4 linked regions of the Saccharomyces cerevisiae S288C genome follow. The protein of the gene in region 1 purifies or fractionates together with the protein of each later gene. This does not show direct contact. Each region holds a gene or a part of one and is shown in the gene's direction. Other genes may lie near its edges.

Region 1 (3,945 bases):
ACAAAAAACCCGTGGCCGACCGAACCGAAGATGATGAGACCATTGAGCTCGAAGAAATGGGCATAGGCAGCAGCTCACAGGAGCGCAGCTTAGTTTCTCCTGCTCCAGAATACAAAGACATGAGCAATGGAATGATCGTCACCGTGCTCGCAATCATAGTATGGTTGATTATCTCCGGACTGAACTTTTATATGTTACTGGGCTTTACTACGGGCAAAGAAGTACACCTCTAATATAACAATTCTTTAGACTAGTATAAGTATACATTTTATCCAAGAATAATAACAGAAAATTCCAATCAAAAAGTTGGTGTTAGGCTATACTGATGGCCGTATCGCTCCATACGAGCCAATCAGGGCCCCGCGCGTTATTTCCGCCGCTTACAGCTTTCTTTGAATCTCCCTATGAAAAGGGACCTAATTGGTCCGGTCAAAGCATTAATAAAGATCAACAATTGCTCTTGCTTATCAAGGTGCCAGATCTCAAGGTTACCTCATTTCTTTACATTTCATCCACATTTTAGCACACTTATTTATTATTACAATTTGAAAAATTGTATCACTTCTGAGACTTAGTAGCGGAGATAAACAGCCGAACAATTGTATTTGACACATAAACTAATAAATATACAACAATGTTATCAAGGGCCATATTCAGAAATCCAGTTATAAATAGAACTTTATTGAGAGCCAGACCTGGTGCTTATCATGCAACTAGATTGACTAAAAATACGTTTATTCAAAGTAGGAAGTATTCTGACGCACATGATGAAGAAACCTTTGAGGAATTCACCGCAAGATACGAAAAGGAGTTTGATGAAGCCTATGATTTGTTTGAAGTGCAAAGAGTGCTCAACAACTGTTTTTCCTATGATTTAGTTCCTGCTCCTGCTGTTATTGAAAAAGCTTTGAGGGCTGCCAGAAGAGTCAATGACTTACCTACCGCAATTAGAGTATTTGAGGCTTTGAAATACAAGGTGGAGAATGAAGACCAATACAAGGCCTACTTGGATGAATTGAAGGATGTCAGACAAGAATTGGGCGTTCCCTTAAAGGAAGAGCTATTTCCAAGCTCTTCTTAATAATAAGGAAAAAGCTACCACACAACGTCTGTAATTTGTTGTCCTTTTTTTATTTGTGGAAAATTCCTCAATTTGAAATAAGATTCGTATTTATTTTGTAAAACGATTTTAGTTTTTATTTTTTTTTTTTCTTCCCTTTTACCTTATTATTTGTTTTACCCTTTATGGATATTCATCCACTCAGAAACTAATATATCAAAATCAACGATAAGATCACAAGAGGTGAAATAAGAAAAGTAAAAGAAAAATATTTAAATTTAACCATTATGATTTCCACTTTGTTTTCTCTACTCTATTACTTGAACAAACTTTATTTTTGGTAATGAGGGCTGGTCACAGATTACCTTTAATATCCTTTGTTAGTAGCTTTTTTGTGTTCTATTTCAGGAAAGAAGAATGGGAAAAATAATAAAACAATAAATAACTATATAAAAAACAAAAACCTAGAATATACCATTAAAGAATTACTATTCTATTCTGTGCTTCACCGTTGCGTCAATAAATGTGAAGTTGATGTCACTTCATACTAAAAAAATTAAAGACAATTTCCTGAAAAAAATTTTTCCACTGGAGCTCATCGCAAATTTTGAAAAGTAACAAAAAGCGTTTGTATACTGCATAAAGAATAGTGTCTGTTTTATAAGAAATATTAGACAGCAGGCAGATAAACCTACGTTCCAGACTATAAAGTATAAAATGGCTAAAAAGAGTAACTCAAAGAAATCTACGCCTGTAAGTACACCAAGCAAAGAAAAGAAGAAGGTTATTGAAAAGAAATCTTCCACAGCCATTCCTAGGGAAAGAGTTATTAAAGCTGTCAACGAGCTTATAAAATTCACTTCCAAGCCACAAGATGAAAATAATGAAGAAGGAAATAACGGTAAGAAAAACCTATTGGAAGATGATGAAGAAGAATTGAAGAAAGATCTGCAATTAATCGTAGTAAATAATAAATCATTCACCGGTACTTCCAAATCATTCAAATTGAAATTACTAAATGTCAAACATTCGTTTTACAAGCCTTGGAAAGAAGCCAGTGCAACAGCGGTTAAGGATTTCAAAGTTTTATTAATTTTGAAGGATTCTGATATTAAGAAAGTTTCAGAAGATGATTTATTTGATCAATTAGATTCAGAAGGAATCAAGGTTGATGAAATCATTTGCGGGAAAGACTTAAAGACCGTTTACAAGGCATATGAGGCTAGAAACGCTTTTATATCTCAGTTTTCTTTGATTTTGGCTGACGACAGTATAGTTACATCTTTGCCAAAACTTATGGGAGGCAAAGCCTACAACAAAGTAGAAACTACTCCTATATCAATTAGAACACATGCAAATAAGGAATTTTCCTTGACCACTTTGACGAACAATATCAAAAAGGTTTACATGAATCAGTTGCCCGTTAAACTTCCAAGAGGTACCACGTTGAATGTCCATTTGGGTAATTTAGAATGGTTAAGGCCAGAAGAGTTTGTAGATAACGTTGAATTAATTTCTGAACAGTTAATCAAAGCATACCAAATCAGATCCATTTTTATCAAGACCAATAGGTCGCCCGTATTGCCATTATACTATAACCAGGACGTTCTTGATGAACTTGAAGCTAAAAAGGACAAAATCGAAGAAACCCACGAAGATGACATGGTCACCATTGATGGTGTACAAGTTCATTTGTCTACCTTCAACAAGGGTTTGATGGAAATCGCCAATCCTTCCGAATTGGGTTCAATTTTCTCTAAACAAATTAACAATGCAAAAAAGAGATCTTCTAGCGAGCTTGAAAAAGAATCTAGCGAGTCAGAAGCTGTCAAGAAGGCTAAAAGTTAATTTGTTTCCTCCTTATCTATCTTTTCTCTCATTTTTTTCTTGTGAAGAAAAAAATTTGAATTTCATAGAGTGCGGTGCATATGTATATATCTATATATGTTTGAAGTGTATATTAAAAATAAAGTCATTATTTGAATATTGGTTTCTCGGTCTAAGAGCTTATACGTTTTAGACTGATCTGTTGTACTATCCGCTTCAAATAAATAGATCATTGAAAGTGACGGGGATAACAGCATTTTACCTTTAAAAGACGTTCTCATAATACATTTTAGGATTAATACATATGCTTTTTTTTTATTCGAAATCTGGGGATTCTATACAGAGTTGTAAGTTAGGCAAACTAGAATTTGGTAATAATATTTTATTCTTGGGGCGACATATGGAGATACTTTATTTCCTTTTCTTAATTATTAACGTATACCTATAAATTAACAAAGTATCTAAACAAAATACATAAGTGTACTCAAACTGAGTAGAATCGTCGATTAAACTTCCTTCTCCTTTTAAAAATTAAAAACAGCAAATAGTTAGATGAATATATTAAAGACTATTCGTTTCATTTCCCAGAGCAGCATGACTTCTTGGTTTCTTCAGACTTGTTACCGCAGGGGCATTTGTCGTCGCTGTTACACCCCGTTGGGCAGCTACATGATTTTTGGCATTGTTCATTATTTTTGCAGCTACCACATTGGCATTGGCACTCATGACCTTCATTTTGGAAGTTAATTAATTCGCTGAACATTTTATGTGATGATTGATTGATTGATTGTACAGTTTGTTTTTCTTAATATCTATTTCGATGACTTCTATATGATATTGCACTAACAAGAAGATATTATAATGCAATTGATACAAGACAAGGAGTTATTTGCTTCTCTTTTATATGATTCTGACAATCCATATTGCGTTGGTAGTCTTTTTTGCTGGAACGGTTCAGCGGAAAAGACGCATCGCTCTTTTTGCTTCTAGAAGAAATGCCAGCAAAAGAATCTCTTGACAGTGACTGACAGCAAAAATGTCTTTTTCTAACTAGTAAC
Region 2 (4,959 bases), on another chromosome or scaffold:
ATTTTATAGTTGGTCTCTATATCAAGTGTTGAGTAAGTAATCGAATGGAAATTACGTACTTTCAACGCAAGAGCAAGACAAAAGAAAGCCTAAAACTGTCTTTTCGTGTCGGTCGTCCAATATCATCGTAAACGTGTGTAGAGCCTTAAATTCTAATTTCTAACTTTAAATTTTTTTTGCTATTATAATACTAATTTCTAACTTTCAACCTATTTTACATCTTCGGAAAACAAAAACTATTTTTTCTTTAATTTCTTTTTTTACTTTCTATTTTTAATTTATATATTTATATTAAAAAATTTAAATTATAATTATTTTTATAGCACGTGATGAAAAGAAATATAGTCTTCAAGGTTATATTATACAGGTTTATATATTATTTTACTTATTTTTGTTGTTCTTTTTCTTGGAGTATTTAGCATTAACAACTTCGACAGGTTCCATAACGCTTCTATCCTCTAGTTTCACATAGGTACCGACTACTTTACCTCTTCCATCGCCCAAATTAATAATTGTCTTTGAGAAGTTGTTTGTATTTGCTGTGGGCAAAACATCTTTAAAAATATTGCATACTGCGGCCTTAAGTTCGTAGTGTAACGTCAATGCTTCAGTAGCTGTCGTGAATTTTATTGCCTTATAGTCATCTACAGTAGGTTCTTGCCAATCCATTTCAGGAAATTTACAATCATATAACAATAATGGTATATCATTTGCCATTTCGTAAACAGGCCTTTGAGGGGTTTTCTCAATATCAGTCAGACGCAAGACAATTTCCGGCACTTCAAGTGATTGACCAACTAAGAAAAGAATGGCCATCATGCAACGAACTTGGTGCCATAGGAATGCTGAACCAACGAGATCAAAACAATAGAAAGTTTCAGAAAGGGGAAGAATTTTTGAGCTTATTATTGTTCGTTTAAAATTGGTAATTTGTTTTGAGCCATCAAGCTTACAAAAATTCCTGAAGTCTCTCTCTCCAACAAAATATGATGCGGCTTTAGACATTTTTTCAATATTAAGGTTTTTTCCATTAAAGATGTACTTATAGTGCCGGTGAACACAGCTGAATCTTGCGTCAAAGTTAGGTGGCGGTCTGAGGCAGACAGCTGATATACGAATATCGTCGGGTAGTAATTGATTTAAAACGTGAACATAGGGTATTTCCCTGCTGTCGTTGGTCGGATCCCGCTGTTCCTCATCTGTTAAATTGGAACGGACTTCTAACGATATAACTTGGTTCATGGCGCTAACTCCCTTGTCTGTTCTGCCACATCTGCTAAATTTATAGTCTTGTAAAACCATCGAGGGAACAAGTTTACACTTATTCATGGCCTCCAAAATGGTACCCTCTACTGTAGGCAACGGTGTGTATTCCTTCTGAACAGCTAAGCCATTGTAATTCCATCCCAAATAGGCAAATCTCAAGGCGATGAACCTGGTATTATGTTTAGAAAAGTCAAACTTCTTCGGAGCCTTTTTCGCCTTGCTTCTCGTAACCTCTTCTTGCGAAATTTTGCGCTTTTTGTTATCCTCGATGTGCTGGAATTTTTCAGAATGTGGCTTATTTGCGTTTTCTAGTTCAGTGATCCTTCGTATTAGCTGCTCTTTGGACCAGTTTGCGTAAATGGAGTCCTTCTTACTAACAATAGCATTGGTACCTGTTGAAATCGCTTTCATTTTCCCAACTAGCCTTCTAATGAAATTACTCATTCAAGGGAGGTTATAGTAGGGCAGTAAAGATTGCATGTGGGCACCTCGAGAATACTATATTATTCTTTATTTTGAGCCGGCTTTTCGCTTTCAAAAATTTTTCACTGAAAAACAAAGTGAGCTTTTCAAGATGAGCTGAGCCCATTGATTTGAGGTGTAGTAAGATAATATTAAAAGCTCAGCAGCAATAAAAACAATGTCAAAGTCATTGGAATGGGATAATCTCGGGTTTTCTTTACTTCCCTGGATAAGGACAGGACTCGATGTTATGGGTTTTGAGACCATGACTCCAGTCCAAGCATCGACAATTCCCATGCTTGCTGGCAACAAGGATGTAGTAGTTGATTCTGTAACAGGCTCAGGTAAGACCGCTGCGTTTGTTATACCTGTACTAGAAAAAGTTGTAAAGGAAGAAGCGAATACATCAAAATTCAAGAAAGCACACTTCCACTCGTTAATTATTGCTCCAACAAGAGAATTGTCACGCCAAATTGAGTCTGTCGTTCTATCATTTCTGGAACATTATCCTTCCGACTTGTTCCCTATTAAATGTCAGCTCCTGGTTGGTACTAATGAAGCCACAGTTAGAGATGATGTAAGTAATTTTCTGCGGAATAGACCGCAGATTCTGATTGGAACACCTGGTAGAGTTTTGGACTTTTTACAAATGCCAGCAGTAAAGACGTCAGCATGCAGTATGGTAGTTATGGATGAAGCAGACAGATTGTTGGATATGAGTTTTATTAAGGATACCGAAAAAATTCTGAGGCTATTGCCTAAACAAAGAAGGACGGGTCTATTTTCTGCAACTATGCGTAGCGCCGGATCAGATATCTTTAAGACAGGGCTTAGAAATCCTGTCAGGATTACCGTTAACTCTAAGAACCAGGCGCCCTCCTCTTTGAAATTAAATTACTGTGTCGTAAATCCTGCCGAAAAACTACAACTTTTGGTTAGCATTTTGAATAACTACAAATTCAAGAAATGTATTGTATATTTTCCAACATGTGTGTCAGTCTCCTACTTCTACTCATTTATCCAGTATTTGGGAAAGAGGAATATTCTCGTGAATGAAGTAGAAATATTTTCCTTGCATGGAAAACTTCAAACATCGGCAAGGACAAAAACTCTAACAGCTTTTACTGATTCGCTAAGTAATTCTGTTTTATTCACAACAGATGTGGCTGCTAGAGGTATTGACATACCCGACGTTGATCTCGTCATCCAGCTTGATCCCCCTACCAATACTGATATGTTCATGCATAGATGTGGTAGAACTGGTAGAGCAAATAGAGTGGGTAAAGCAATTACGTTTCTTAATGAAGGCAGAGAAGAGGATTTTATTCCTTTCATGCAAGTTAAAAATGTGGAACTTGAAGAACTTGATTTGGAAGTAAAGGGCATAACAACAAACTTTTACGAGGACTTTAGAAATTGGATACTAGAAGATAGGGATAGATTTGATAAAGGTGTTAAAGCATATGTTGCCTTTATTAAATACTACTCAAATCATTCCGCAACTTCAATTTTTAGGCTTCAATCTTTAGATTATGTTGGTATTGCGAAATTGTATGGTCTTTTCCGCCTGCCTAGAATGCCTGAGATAACAAAGTACTTAGCCACCGAAAAACAAGAAGGGATTTTCCCAGGGAATTGGTTGGTCGATCCCCCAGTTAATATGGATGAATATAAATACAAGGACAAAAAACGTGAAAAGGAGAGACAAGAAACATTAAAAAATATAAGCCTGATTAATGATAAAAAGAAGCTGAAAAGTGAGTTGAAGAAGAAGAATTTAGCGTGGTCAGATAAAACATTGACGAAAGAACGGAAACTCGAGAGAAAGGAAAAGATGAGTTTAAAAAGGAAGGCTATAGAGGAAGAATTGAAAGCAGAAGAGCTCGATGAAAATGCTGAAGAAGAGCGTATTAAAGAGGATTGGAAAGAAATCGTTTTACAGAATAAACGGAAGAAAGTTTCCAGCAAAGCTATCCAAGGCAATTTTGACGACTTATAATTATGGAAAAAAAGTTACCTTGTTCGTAGAATCACTCAACATTCTTAACCAATGGATGATCTTGTAGCATCATAGTGAGTAAGTAGATTATTTGTGTATGCATACTTAATTTAAAATATTCTAAAACCATTATACTCCATCTTAAAGCATAATATATATCTCTTGTTCAGCATGTACTTGTAACAGGAAAAGGATATTATGTTCAGAAATAATCAAACAGCCTCAATACTGACATCAGGCAGTCGACAGGAATAACTTCAAAATAAGTTCCGATCACAACGTTATTGTAATGGAACCAATGATCGCTCATTGATTAGTATTCATATTAACACTATATTAAAATTGAGTGTGAGTAGATGGCACAAAGACTGAGAAATAATCATCAAATTTAATGGAAGCCGAAATGCAAGACTTGATAATGTAATGGAATAAAGAGTGGCGACAATAATATGAAAAAGAAAATATTAATAACATTATATAGAAATATGGGCTTCCTTTTTTAGGTTATTACATCCTTGGGAAGAATTTTTAATATACTTTGATTCCCTTTAATAACAATGGAATGCCAACAATTATCCTAACATTGACCCGTTGGTAATTAGAGGTTAAGAAGTAGTGTTAATGAAGATTAAATATGGATCTTCTTATACTATATAAGAGAAGTATAAAACACACGCTGATTTGTGTATTATTACTTATGATCAATGTAATAGTAGTTCTGGAACTTGTCATACATTTAGTTTGACTAGTCATATTACGCGTATATATAACGACCAGATCATGTCAAACCTACGGTTCTTCAATACAGATTCATTACTTTCTTTAACAGGTATATTCATACTTAAACATATATGCGGTATGTATTCATGCACGATGCAAGCATTCAAAATGTTACTATGGCAATTGATGACCACTTGTTCCAAATAGTAACCGTACATTCATTAGTGAGTATAATTCTACCATAAGTATAAATGGTAACATATAAATATTCCGAGATCATCACGGGATTTGTCACGCAGCGGATTTATTTCAAATATTAAGAGAATTTGAGATCTGAATTTAACTTTAAATTTATACTTTTTCTCCTATTTCTACGTAGCTAATCTCACTTTGTAGTTTCCTTGAATATTGCTTTGGACTATACGTCTTTGTTTGTTTCAGATATAGTCTCTGAGATATTGGTGAATTTTGAGATAATTGTTGGGATTCCATTGTTGATTAAGGCTATAATA
Region 3 (5,205 bases), on another chromosome or scaffold:
TTTTGAATATACTTTGTTCCCAACTTTCTTTTTAGTTTACTTACATTCATATTTACATGTGCGTTACTACTTATTGGTGCAACCAAGTGAACAGCGAGTCTTACCATTGGTAGTACCAATAGGGATTCTTTTTTTTTTCTAGGTGTTGAACCAAATCATAAGGATCATCGTCGACAAATCTTCTAGCAGATAAATCTTTCTCGGTTTTTTCTAAATACGACTTCTTCACTGCGTTCAAAGTATCAGCTTCATCCGGGGCCATCTCATACAGGGAACTGATGATCGGTCTATCTCTGGGACAGCTTGACTCTTTACCATTTGTTTCAATGTAACGCTGGTAGCCAGACTCAATCAAGTTTTCTAGCGGTTCCCTTATACCTACTTGGATACCCCTAGGTATCCATATCTCATGTAGTCCTTTGAACTCATACCTCCCAGTTGTCCTTAATAAAATATATCCTATATCTTTCAGAACGATCTCTATACTTCCAATAAATGGAGGTATTGCGTACCTTTTGTACTGGCTTTTTTCGCATATAACGCTTTTAATTCCACAATACCGTGATAACGGATGTGTGCCAGATGATGAATTGCACGAGTTGAATACATCAATACCTTTTTCAATGTTCTTGAATGTTTTTGATGGTCCTGGTATGTATTTCACAATCTGATTTATGGATCCTTTCGGAGGTACCAGGTAGAAAATCCCTCCCACGGTATAACAGCCTCCCTGTGATGTGCCCTTCATAGACTCATAAGTCTTCTGTTTTATATGCTTCCGATTGAATAAATCGGTTTTTCGCAGCCTTTGAAGCCAACGCTCGTCGATTAGTTCTTCTAGGCGTAATCTGGAGGTGGAAGTTGAATAGCCTGGAAGATCAAAAAGTATTTTACCTCCAACTTGGTAGGCTTGTACGGATCTAGTTAAATTGGGAATATGTGATACACCAGCAGCTTGAATCTTGAAAAAATTCTTCGGGTTCGTAAAAGCTTCTTGCATCACTTCTTCAGAGGGGGAGTTAATTTTCCCAGTAGAATCAATTTTAACCTTATATCCAAGATATTTCTGTAGTAGAGTATTGATCAAAGTTGATTTACCAACATTAGGGTTGCCTAGCAAATATGTGTAGTTTTTAAAGTAGTTGTAAAACATGGATATGTTCCAGTTTTTCAGCGCAGATATGGCGAATGTTTTATTTGAGTCAATTCTTAAAGTGTTCTTTAAAAATTGCTTCATGAATATAGGAACCTTTTTGCTGACAGCATTTTTATCTTTAAAAACTTGATCGCTTTTCGTTAACACTAATGTAGTATCTAAATCATTTCGTTTCAAAACATTGGGGTCTAAATGTAAGGGAAATTCTACAAAGGGGACAATATGCATAACATTTGAGCCTCTGGGGACGTAGTTCAGAATATCATTTAATGTGCTTTCGGGAAACTCTTCCGGGTTATAATTGTTATGATGAAGGGCATTACTGCACCTTTTGCAAATCACTCTCAATAGTAAATCTCTTTTGGTTTTGAGGTCAGGATCATTTTGAGTTGCCTGTTTCGAGAGCTGTATGTCTTGACTGAATAGCAAATACTTCAGATCTTGGAGGTCAGGATTTAGTTTTGAGTCGGGTAGACTTTTTGGCTTCGTATAATATCCTGGTTTACTAGGATCCTGATCCTGTAGTTTTATGGAACATGACGCACATTTCACTTTCACAATCACAGAACAGGAAAACTGACGTACGCCTCGAAGAGCATGACACAGATTCAACATTCCCGCATATTGAATTGTTCAAAGTAATTAGACGTGTTACTAGGAAGGTCCTTCGTTAATATTGCTCTGTTAAATGTATCTTGACCCATAACATCAAATAGTAGTTATCATCTTCGACGAGTTTTGAAAAATTTTCTGAATTTTTTCTTCCGATGAGATGAGCATGATATTTACAGAGAAAATAGAGAAACAGAATACTTGTACATGGGTAAATTCATTTATACTAATTTTTGAATTGTAAGAGAGATAGAGAAGGTCAACAATAGAATAAGTGGAGATGGGTAAAGTTTCTAAATCGACCAAGAAGTTTCAATCGAAGCATTTGAAGCATACTCTAGACCAAAGAAGAAAGGAAAAGATCCAAAAGAAGAGAATCCAAGGCCGTCGTGGCAACAAAACTGATCAGGAAAAGGCCGATGCTGCTGGTACTAGGGAACAACAGCAGTTGAAAAAATCTGCAAAGGAAGAGGTTTTTAAGGACATGTCTGTCGAAACTTTTTTTGAAAAGGGCATCGAAATTCCAAAAGAGAATAAAAAATTGAAGAAAAAAACTACGAAAGAGCAATCTGATGAAGATTCCTCCTCTTCCGAAGAGGAGGAAGACATGGGACAAAGCATGGCAAAGTTGGCCGAAAAGGATCCCGAATTTTATAAGTATTTGGAGGAAAATGATAAAGATTTATTGGACTTCGCAGGTACCAATCCATTGGATGGAATTGATAGTCAAGATGAAGGTGAAGATGCTGAAAGAAACAGTAATATTGAAGAAAAATCTGAACAAATGGAGCTGGAAAAGGAAAAAATTGAGCTTTCTTTGAAATTGGTTAGGAAATGGAAAAAACAACTTCATGATTCTCCAAGCTTAAAATTACTAAGGAACATAATCAGTGCTTTCAAGGTTGCTGTAAATTTGAACAAGGAAGAAAACATCGAAGACTATAAATATGCTATCACTGATGAGAAAGCATTCCACGAATTGATGTTCATGGTCTTGAAAGATGTACCACAAGCGATTCAAAAGATGGCCCCATACAAGATTGTAAAAGGCGCAAGGACCTTACCAAATGGAGGTAACGTCTCCAGGGTCTCGTCCATTGTCAAGTCGCATGCTGGCTCTTTGTTGATTTTATTGAATGATATTACTAATACGGAAACAGCAGCATTAGTTCTTCATTCTGTCAACGAATTGATGCCTTATCTTTTATCATACAGAAGGATCTTAAAGGAGCTTATTAAATCAATTGTTGGAGTATGGTCTACAACGAGAGAATTAGAAACCCAGATTGCTTCTTTTGCCTTTTTGATCAATACCACCAAAGAGTTCAAGAAGTCTATGCTAGAAACAACCTTAAAAACAACGTACTCCACTTTTATCAAAAGTTGTCGTAAAACGAATATGCGTTCTATGCCACTGATTAATTTTCAAAAAAATTCGGCAGCTGAATTGTTCGGTATCGATGAAGTTCTAGGTTACCAAGTTGGATTTGAGTATATTAGGCAATTGGCAATTCATTTAAGAAATACAATGAACGCGACAACTAAAAAATCCAGTAAAATTAATTCCGCAGAAGCTTACAAGATTGTATACAACTGGCAATTCTGTCACTCCTTGGATTTCTGGTCTCGTGTACTATCGTTTGCTTGTCAACCAGAAAAGGAAAATGGCAGTGAATCTCCTTTACGACAATTAATTTACCCATTGGTTCAGGTTACTTTGGGTGTAATCAGATTAATCCCAACACCACAATTCTTCCCATTAAGATTTTATTTGATTAAATCACTTATTAGACTTTCTCAAAATAGTGGTGTTTTTATTCCAATATATCCTTTACTTTCTGAAATTTTAACCTCAACGGCTTTCACTAAGGCACCCAAAAAGAGCCCTAACTTGGCTGCTTTCGATTTTGAGCACAACATCAAATGTACGCAAGCTTATCTGAATACAAAAATATACCAAGAGGGTTTGTCAGAACAGTTTGTGGACTTATTGGGCGATTATTTTGCTCTGTACTGTAAAAACATTGCATTTCCTGAACTTGTAACACCGGTTATTATCTCTTTACGCCGTTACATCAAGACTTCAACTAATGTCAAACTTAACAAACGTTTATCAACTGTTGTAGAAAAATTGAACCAAAACAGCACATTCATCCAAGAAAAGAGATCAGATGTTGAATTTGGGCCAACAAACAAATCTGAAGTTTCAAGATTTTTGAATGATGTAGCTTGGAATAAAACACCTTTAGGTTCTTATGTTGCAGTACAACGTGAAGTTAAGGAAGAAAAGGCCAGATTAATGAGAGAAAGTATGGAAGAACAAGACAAAGAAAGAGAAACAGAAGAAGCAAAATTATTAAACAGTCTGGAAAGTGATGATGACAACGAAGATGTTGAAATGTCAGACGCTTAACAACTCAGCAAGATTTGATTTTTTGTCTTGAATTCAATAGTTAAGTCTATAAATGTGTAAAATAAAGAAAAGTCTTTTTTAAAGCGTATATATCATTGTGCTCACATGTGCTAACATGTGAGCACTCCAAGCTTTCTCTTGTCAGCTGGATATTTTTATATTTTGGCCGGTTTATGGATAGAAAACACGTCAAACGTTCGATGGATCTTATAAAAAGTAATGATGTAAAGCAAGGTACAAAAATGAAAGAAGTACGGTTTACTGTTATATAATTTTCGAAATCGTTCAACTCTCTTAAAGTTCCTCACGAAATAGATATGATTGCTAACATAACGCAAAATTTAGTACAAGATATATGATTTCTTACTGCTGGAAGATATCTTCCAATCTTAATCTTGGGGCTATGTTCATGGATAATAATTCCTGGAATAACAGTTTTGCTGCATATGGAATAGTCATCTTAATAATATTCTCAGCACTTTTGCAGGTAGTACACCAACCACTATAGCCCATTAATCCACATTTATCGCAGACATCAACTTCAAAAGCATCTGAACTAATCATCAACCTTTCTAACAGCAATTGTGAAGCACCATACGCGATTACACAATCCCTCTCCATCTCACCCAACCTCAGACCACCATCTCTAGATCTACCCTCAGTTGGTTGACGTGTCAAAACAGCCCTTGGACCACGAGCTCTTGCATGCATCTTATCTAAGACCATATGCTTTAACTTTTGATAGTAAATGGGGCCAAAAAAGATGTAAGCCTGTAAACACTCACCTGTTATACCTGAATATAACATATCCTTACCGGAATAGTTGAAACCTTGGTCTACCAAAATCTTAGACATATCTTCAAGTTTAGAACCACCAAAACAAGTACCATATTCCAATGTACCATTCAATACACCAGCTTTACCCGATATCAGTTCGATCATTTTACCCACAGTCATACGAGATGGAAAACCGTGAGGGTTCATGATAATGTCTGGAACTATACCTTGATCGTTGAAGGGCATG
Region 4 (5,149 bases), on another chromosome or scaffold:
ACCTTTCACACTTGGGCTTTTCTTTGGCAGGTGTTTGCTCTATTCTTCTCTTTCAGTTTGGTGCGCTATTCAGATTTATTGGTCGTCCTACTGTATACATCTCTTTCATTTTCTTTGTTTCTGCAGTGGGTGTTAAAATGGGAATACACATACCATATCTCACGTCAAAGACATCGCAATCAAATGTTGGTGATGCCGTTGGCAACGCTGATAGTGTAGAGTTCAACAGTGAGCATGACTCACCTTCAAAGAGAGGTAAAATTACACTTGAGTCACATGAAATACAGAGGGCTCCCGCTAGCGATGATGAAGATAGGATTCAAATTAAACCCGTGAACGACGAGGATGACACGTCGGTCATGATCACTTTTAACCAATCTCTTTCGCCCTTCATCATCACTCTGACTTTTGTCGCATCCATATCCGGTTTCATGTTTGGTTACGACACTGGTTATATATCCAGTGCGCTGATCTCGATCGGCACAGATCTGGACCACAAGGTACTTACTTATGGGGAGAAGGAAATTGTCACTGCGGCTACCTCTCTGGGAGCTTTGATTACCAGTATTTTCGCCGGTACTGCAGCTGACATATTTGGTAGGAAACGTTGTTTAATGGGTTCGAATCTGATGTTTGTCATTGGCGCAATCTTACAGGTCTCCGCACACACATTCTGGCAAATGGCTGTTGGTAGACTGATCATGGGTTTCGGTGTCGGTATCGGCTCCTTGATCGCGCCACTTTTCATCAGTGAAATTGCTCCCAAAATGATCAGAGGGAGACTAACTGTCATCAATTCCTTATGGTTGACTGGTGGTCAATTAGTCGCTTACGGTTGCGGTGCTGGGTTAAACTACGTCAACAATGGTTGGAGAATTCTTGTTGGATTGTCACTAATTCCCACTGCTGTGCAATTCACATGCCTGTGCTTTTTACCTGACACTCCAAGATACTACGTTATGAAGGGCGACTTGGCAAGGGCTACTGAGGTGTTGAAGAGAAGTTACACTGACACTTCGGAGGAAATCATTGAACGTAAGGTGGAAGAACTTGTTACTTTGAATCAATCTATTCCTGGTAAGAATGTCCCTGAAAAAGTCTGGAATACCATCAAAGAATTGCACACAGTACCATCTAATCTAAGGGCTTTGATCATTGGTTGTGGTTTACAAGCAATTCAACAGTTTACCGGTTGGAATTCGTTGATGTATTTCTCTGGTACCATCTTCGAAACTGTCGGTTTCAAAAATTCTTCCGCTGTTTCAATCATCGTGTCCGGTACCAATTTTATTTTCACTTTAGTTGCCTTTTTTTCCATTGACAAAATAGGCCGTAGAACCATATTATTGATTGGATTACCAGGCATGACCATGGCTTTAGTCGTGTGCTCTATTGCTTTCCATTTTCTAGGTATTAAGTTTGATGGCGCTGTCGCTGTGGTGGTTTCCTCCGGTTTCTCCTCTTGGGGTATTGTGATCATCGTATTTATTATCGTATTTGCTGCGTTCTACGCTCTTGGTATCGGTACTGTTCCATGGCAACAATCGGAACTATTCCCCCAAAACGTGAGAGGTATTGGGACTTCATATGCAACTGCTACAAACTGGGCTGGTTCACTGGTTATTGCATCCACATTTTTGACCATGTTACAGAATATCACTCCTGCAGGTACATTTGCCTTTTTCGCGGGATTGTCGTGCTTATCAACCATTTTCTGCTACTTCTGTTATCCAGAATTATCGGGATTGGAGTTAGAAGAGGTACAAACTATTTTGAAGGACGGGTTCAACATCAAAGCCTCGAAAGCTTTGGCCAAGAAGAGAAAACAGCAAGTTGCCAGAGTTCATGAATTGAAATATGAACCAACTCAAGAGATTATAGAGGATATATAGTCCTTTCACGAGGTAAAAGGAAGGAGACGCAATTGAATATTCAAATACATAGTAGAAAATAAATAAAAATAAATTACAAGATAGAAAAAAGTTCATTGTATTTAAGTCGAACTAATTGTTGTATGCATATATAGAAGATTAACTAACCCGGCATTGAAGACCTTTTTTTTTTTTCACCTTGAGAGAAATACTGAAAATTTTTTTTGCTGGGATGAGATGAGATGCCTACCTAAAGTATTTCGAAGGTGAAAGCGTTTTATTATAGAGTACTGAAATAAAGCACAATCAGGAATAACAAATTAACTGACAATGGCACCTTTAACCAAGAAGACAAACGGAAAACGTTCTGCTAAAGAAGTTAGTCATTCAGAAAAGAAATTAGCCAAAAAACCTAGAATTTCTATTGATTCGTCTGATGAAGAATCAGAACTATCCAAAAAGGAAGATGCTGTATCCTCTTCATCAGATGATGATGATTTGGATGATTTAAGTACCAGTGACTCTGAAGCAGAAGAAGAAGCTGACGAATTAGATATTTCCGATGACAGTGAGGAACATGAAAATGAGAATGAAGAGAAAGAAGGAAAGGACAAATCTGAAGGAGGTGAAAATGGAAATCACACTGAACAAAGAAAACTGCTAAAAGAAAGGAAAATGCAAAGAAAATCTGGTACCCAAGTGCAACAAATTAAATCCGTCTGGGAAAGATTGCGTGTGAAGACCCCACCTTTACCAAAACAGATTCGTGAAAAACTTTCCAACGAAATCTGGGAGCTATCTAAGGACTGTATCAGTGATCTTGTCTTAAAGCATGATGCTTCCCGTATTGTTCAAACTTTAGTCAAGTATTCGTCCAAAGATCGTCGTGAACAAATTGTCGATGCTTTAAAGGGAAAATTTTATGTTCTAGCCACATCTGCGTACGGTAAGTATCTATTGGTTAAGTTACTGCATTATGGTTCAAGAAGTTCAAGGCAAACTATAATAAATGAATTACACGGTTCTTTGAGAAAATTAATGAGACATCGTGAGGGTGCCTACGTTGTTGAAGATTTATTTGTTCTTTATGCCACACATGAACAAAGACAACAAATGATTAAAGAGTTTTGGGGCTCTGAATATGCTGTATTTAGAGAAACCCACAAAGATTTGACCATTGAGAAAGTTTGTGAAAGTAGCATTGAAAAAAGGAATATTATCGCCAGAAACTTGATTGGTACCATTACCGCATCAGTAGAAAAGGGTTCCACCGGCTTTCAAATTCTACATGCTGCTATGAGAGAATATGTGAAAATAGCCAACGAAAAGGAAATATCTGAAATGATCGAATTGCTTCATGAACAATTCGCTGAATTGGTGCATACTCCAGAAGGTTCAGACGTTGCTTGTACTTTGGTTGCTAGAGCTAACGCCAAGGAAAGAAAGTTAATTTTAAAGGCTTTGAAAAACCACGCCGAAAAATTGATCAAAAATGAGTACGGTAATATTGTCTTCATTACAATTCTGAACTGTGTTGACGATACAGTTTTAGTATTCAAGACTTTCAGTCCTACTGTTAAGGAACATTTGCAAGAATTCATAATTGATAAGTTTGGTAGAAGGCCTTGGTTATACATACTATTAGGTTTGGACGGTAAGTATTTCTCACCTATCGTCAAGAATGAATTATTGAGATACATTGAACTGTCCAAAGCCACCTCTAAGAAGGATCCTTTACAAAGAAGGCACGAACTTTTGTCAAAATTCGCCCCCATGTTTTTAAGCACTATATCAAAAGATTATTCCAGTATATTGACAGAGAATCTAGGCTGTCAGTTCATTGCCGAAGTTCTAATAAACGATGAGTTGTACGCGCAGCTGAATGAAAAAGACCAAGAAAAGTATCAACAGGTCTTAAACAACATTTTAACTACTTTTAAGGGTGACATAACCGAAGAAGAGCACCCAATACATAGAGCATTTTCTACTAGACTATTAAAGGCACTAATTCAAGGTGGTAAATGGAATAACAAAGAAAAAAAGGTCATACCATTAAAAAATGTTCAAGGCTTAGGCGTTCCATTTGCTGAAAAGTTATACGATGAAATTATTGACTCCTCCAACTTGTTAGAATGGATTAATAACGCTGATAGTTCATTTACAATTGTTGCACTGTATGAAACGTTAAAAGATCAAAAAGAAGGGAAACCATTTTTGAAGGATTTGAGAGGAGTTCAGAGTAAAATCACCACTGATGAAAGTAACAAAGGCTCTCAGCTTTTGGCTAAATTGTTAAAATAAATTTTCTACGATAAAGTCACAATATTTGGTATATAAGCATCTGTACAATAATAATAAAAAGCTTGATCTCATTGAAAGTGCAGGTATATATAATTGTCTCCTAAAAACTCCTTACATCGCATAATATCTGTTGAAGATACCGTTCCGATGGGAAAAAAAGGCAAGTTTAACTGGAAATATTCATATGTACTTACTATTTTATAACGACATTAGTGAATCAGAACTATCATAACAGTCAAGGAGACTACCTTTTTTTGGTTGCAACCATAATATTATAGAACCATGGTAAAAAAGAAAACGAATAATGACAAAGGAAAAGAAGTAAAGGAAAATGAAGGAAAGCTCGATATAGATAGCGAATCCTCACCTCACGAAAGAGAAAATGACAAAAAAAAAACAGAAGATGATAGTCTACGTGCAACAGAAAGTGAAGAGACGAATACACATAATGCTAACCCAAATGAAACAGTACGAGCTGATAAATTTTCCCAGGAAGAGAGTCGACCAATCGAAGACAGTCCACATACTGATAAAAACACAGCACAAGAAAGCTGTCAGCCTAGCAGCGCAGAAGATAATGTCATAAATACAGATATTACAAGCTTAAATGAAAAAACCTCCACGAATGATGAACAGGAAAAAGGGTTGCCACTGAAAATAAGCGAAGGTCCTTTTACAATCTCTACCCTATTAGACAATGTACCATCTGACTTGATATACACATGTTGTGAGGCGTATGAGAACCACATATTCTTGGGAACAACTACAGGTGATCTTTTACATTACTTTGAACTTGAACGTGGAAACTATATGCTTGTGTCGCAAACAAAGTTTGATGCAGAATCAAATTCGAAGATAGACAAAATCCTTCTTTTACCTAAAGTAGAAGGCGCACTAATATTATGTGATAACGAACTAGTTTTATTTATTCTCCCAGAATTTGCACCAAGGCCCAACACAACTAGACTTAAAGGTAT

Evidence for each region.
Region 2: the proteins of CIC1 (region 1) and SPB4 purify together in Saccharomyces cerevisiae (affinity purification with mass spectrometry; 7 studies listed by BioGRID). This does not show direct contact.
Region 3: the proteins of CIC1 (region 1) and NOC2 purify together in Saccharomyces cerevisiae (affinity purification with mass spectrometry; 8 studies listed by BioGRID, with this or other methods). This does not show direct contact.
Region 4: the proteins of CIC1 (region 1) and PUF6 purify together in Saccharomyces cerevisiae (affinity purification with mass spectrometry; 6 studies listed by BioGRID, with this or other methods). This does not show direct contact.

The regions. Positions count from the first base shown.
Region 1 is NC_001140.6:209,071-213,015, forward strand, and holds CIC1 (Cic1p), read left to right. Parts: upstream 1-1,777; coding exon 1,778-2,908; downstream 2,909-3,945. Other genes in the region: divalent metal ion transporter SMF2, read left to right, coding at 1-233; YHR050W-A (uncharacterized protein), read left to right, coding at 405-575; COX6 (cytochrome c oxidase subunit VI), read left to right, coding at 635-1,081; YHR052C-B (uncharacterized protein), read right to left, coding at 3,449-3,622; metallothionein CUP1-1, read right to left, coding at 3,465-3,650. UniProt on the Saccharomyces cerevisiae protein: An adapter protein that specifically links the 26S proteasome to its substrate CDC4 which is one of the substrate recognition subunits of the SCF E3 ubiquitin ligase complex. Required for turnover of cell cycle regulatory proteins CDC4 and GRR1.
Region 2 is NC_001138.5:143,882-148,840, reverse strand, and holds SPB4 (ATP-dependent RNA helicase SPB4), read left to right. Parts: upstream 1-1,906; coding exon 1,907-3,727; downstream 3,728-4,959. Other genes in the region: pseudouridine synthase DEG1, read right to left, coding at 382-1,710. UniProt on the Saccharomyces cerevisiae protein: ATP-binding RNA helicase involved in the biogenesis of 60S ribosomal subunits. Binds 90S pre-ribosomal particles and dissociates from pre-60S ribosomal particles after processing of 27SB pre-rRNA.
Region 3 is NC_001147.6:725,464-730,668, forward strand, and holds NOC2 (mRNA-binding ribosome synthesis protein NOC2), read left to right. Parts: upstream 1-2,048; coding exon 2,049-4,181; downstream 4,182-5,205. Other genes in the region: GEP3 (Gep3p), read right to left, coding at 101-1,771; DNA-directed RNA polymerase III core subunit RET1, read right to left, coding at 4,545-5,205. UniProt on the Saccharomyces cerevisiae protein: Involved in the intranuclear transport of ribosomal precursors.
Region 4 is NC_001136.10:1,440,456-1,445,604, reverse strand, and holds PUF6 (Puf6p), read left to right. Parts: upstream 1-2,201; coding exon 2,202-4,172; downstream 4,173-5,149. Other genes in the region: myo-inositol transporter ITR1, read left to right, coding at 138-1,892; CORVET complex subunit VPS3, read left to right, coding at 4,455-5,149. UniProt on the Saccharomyces cerevisiae protein: RNA-binding protein involved in post-transcriptional regulation. Component of the ASH1 mRNP which transports the ASH1 mRNA to the distal tip of the bud, where the ASH1 protein is translated and targeted to the daughter cell nucleus.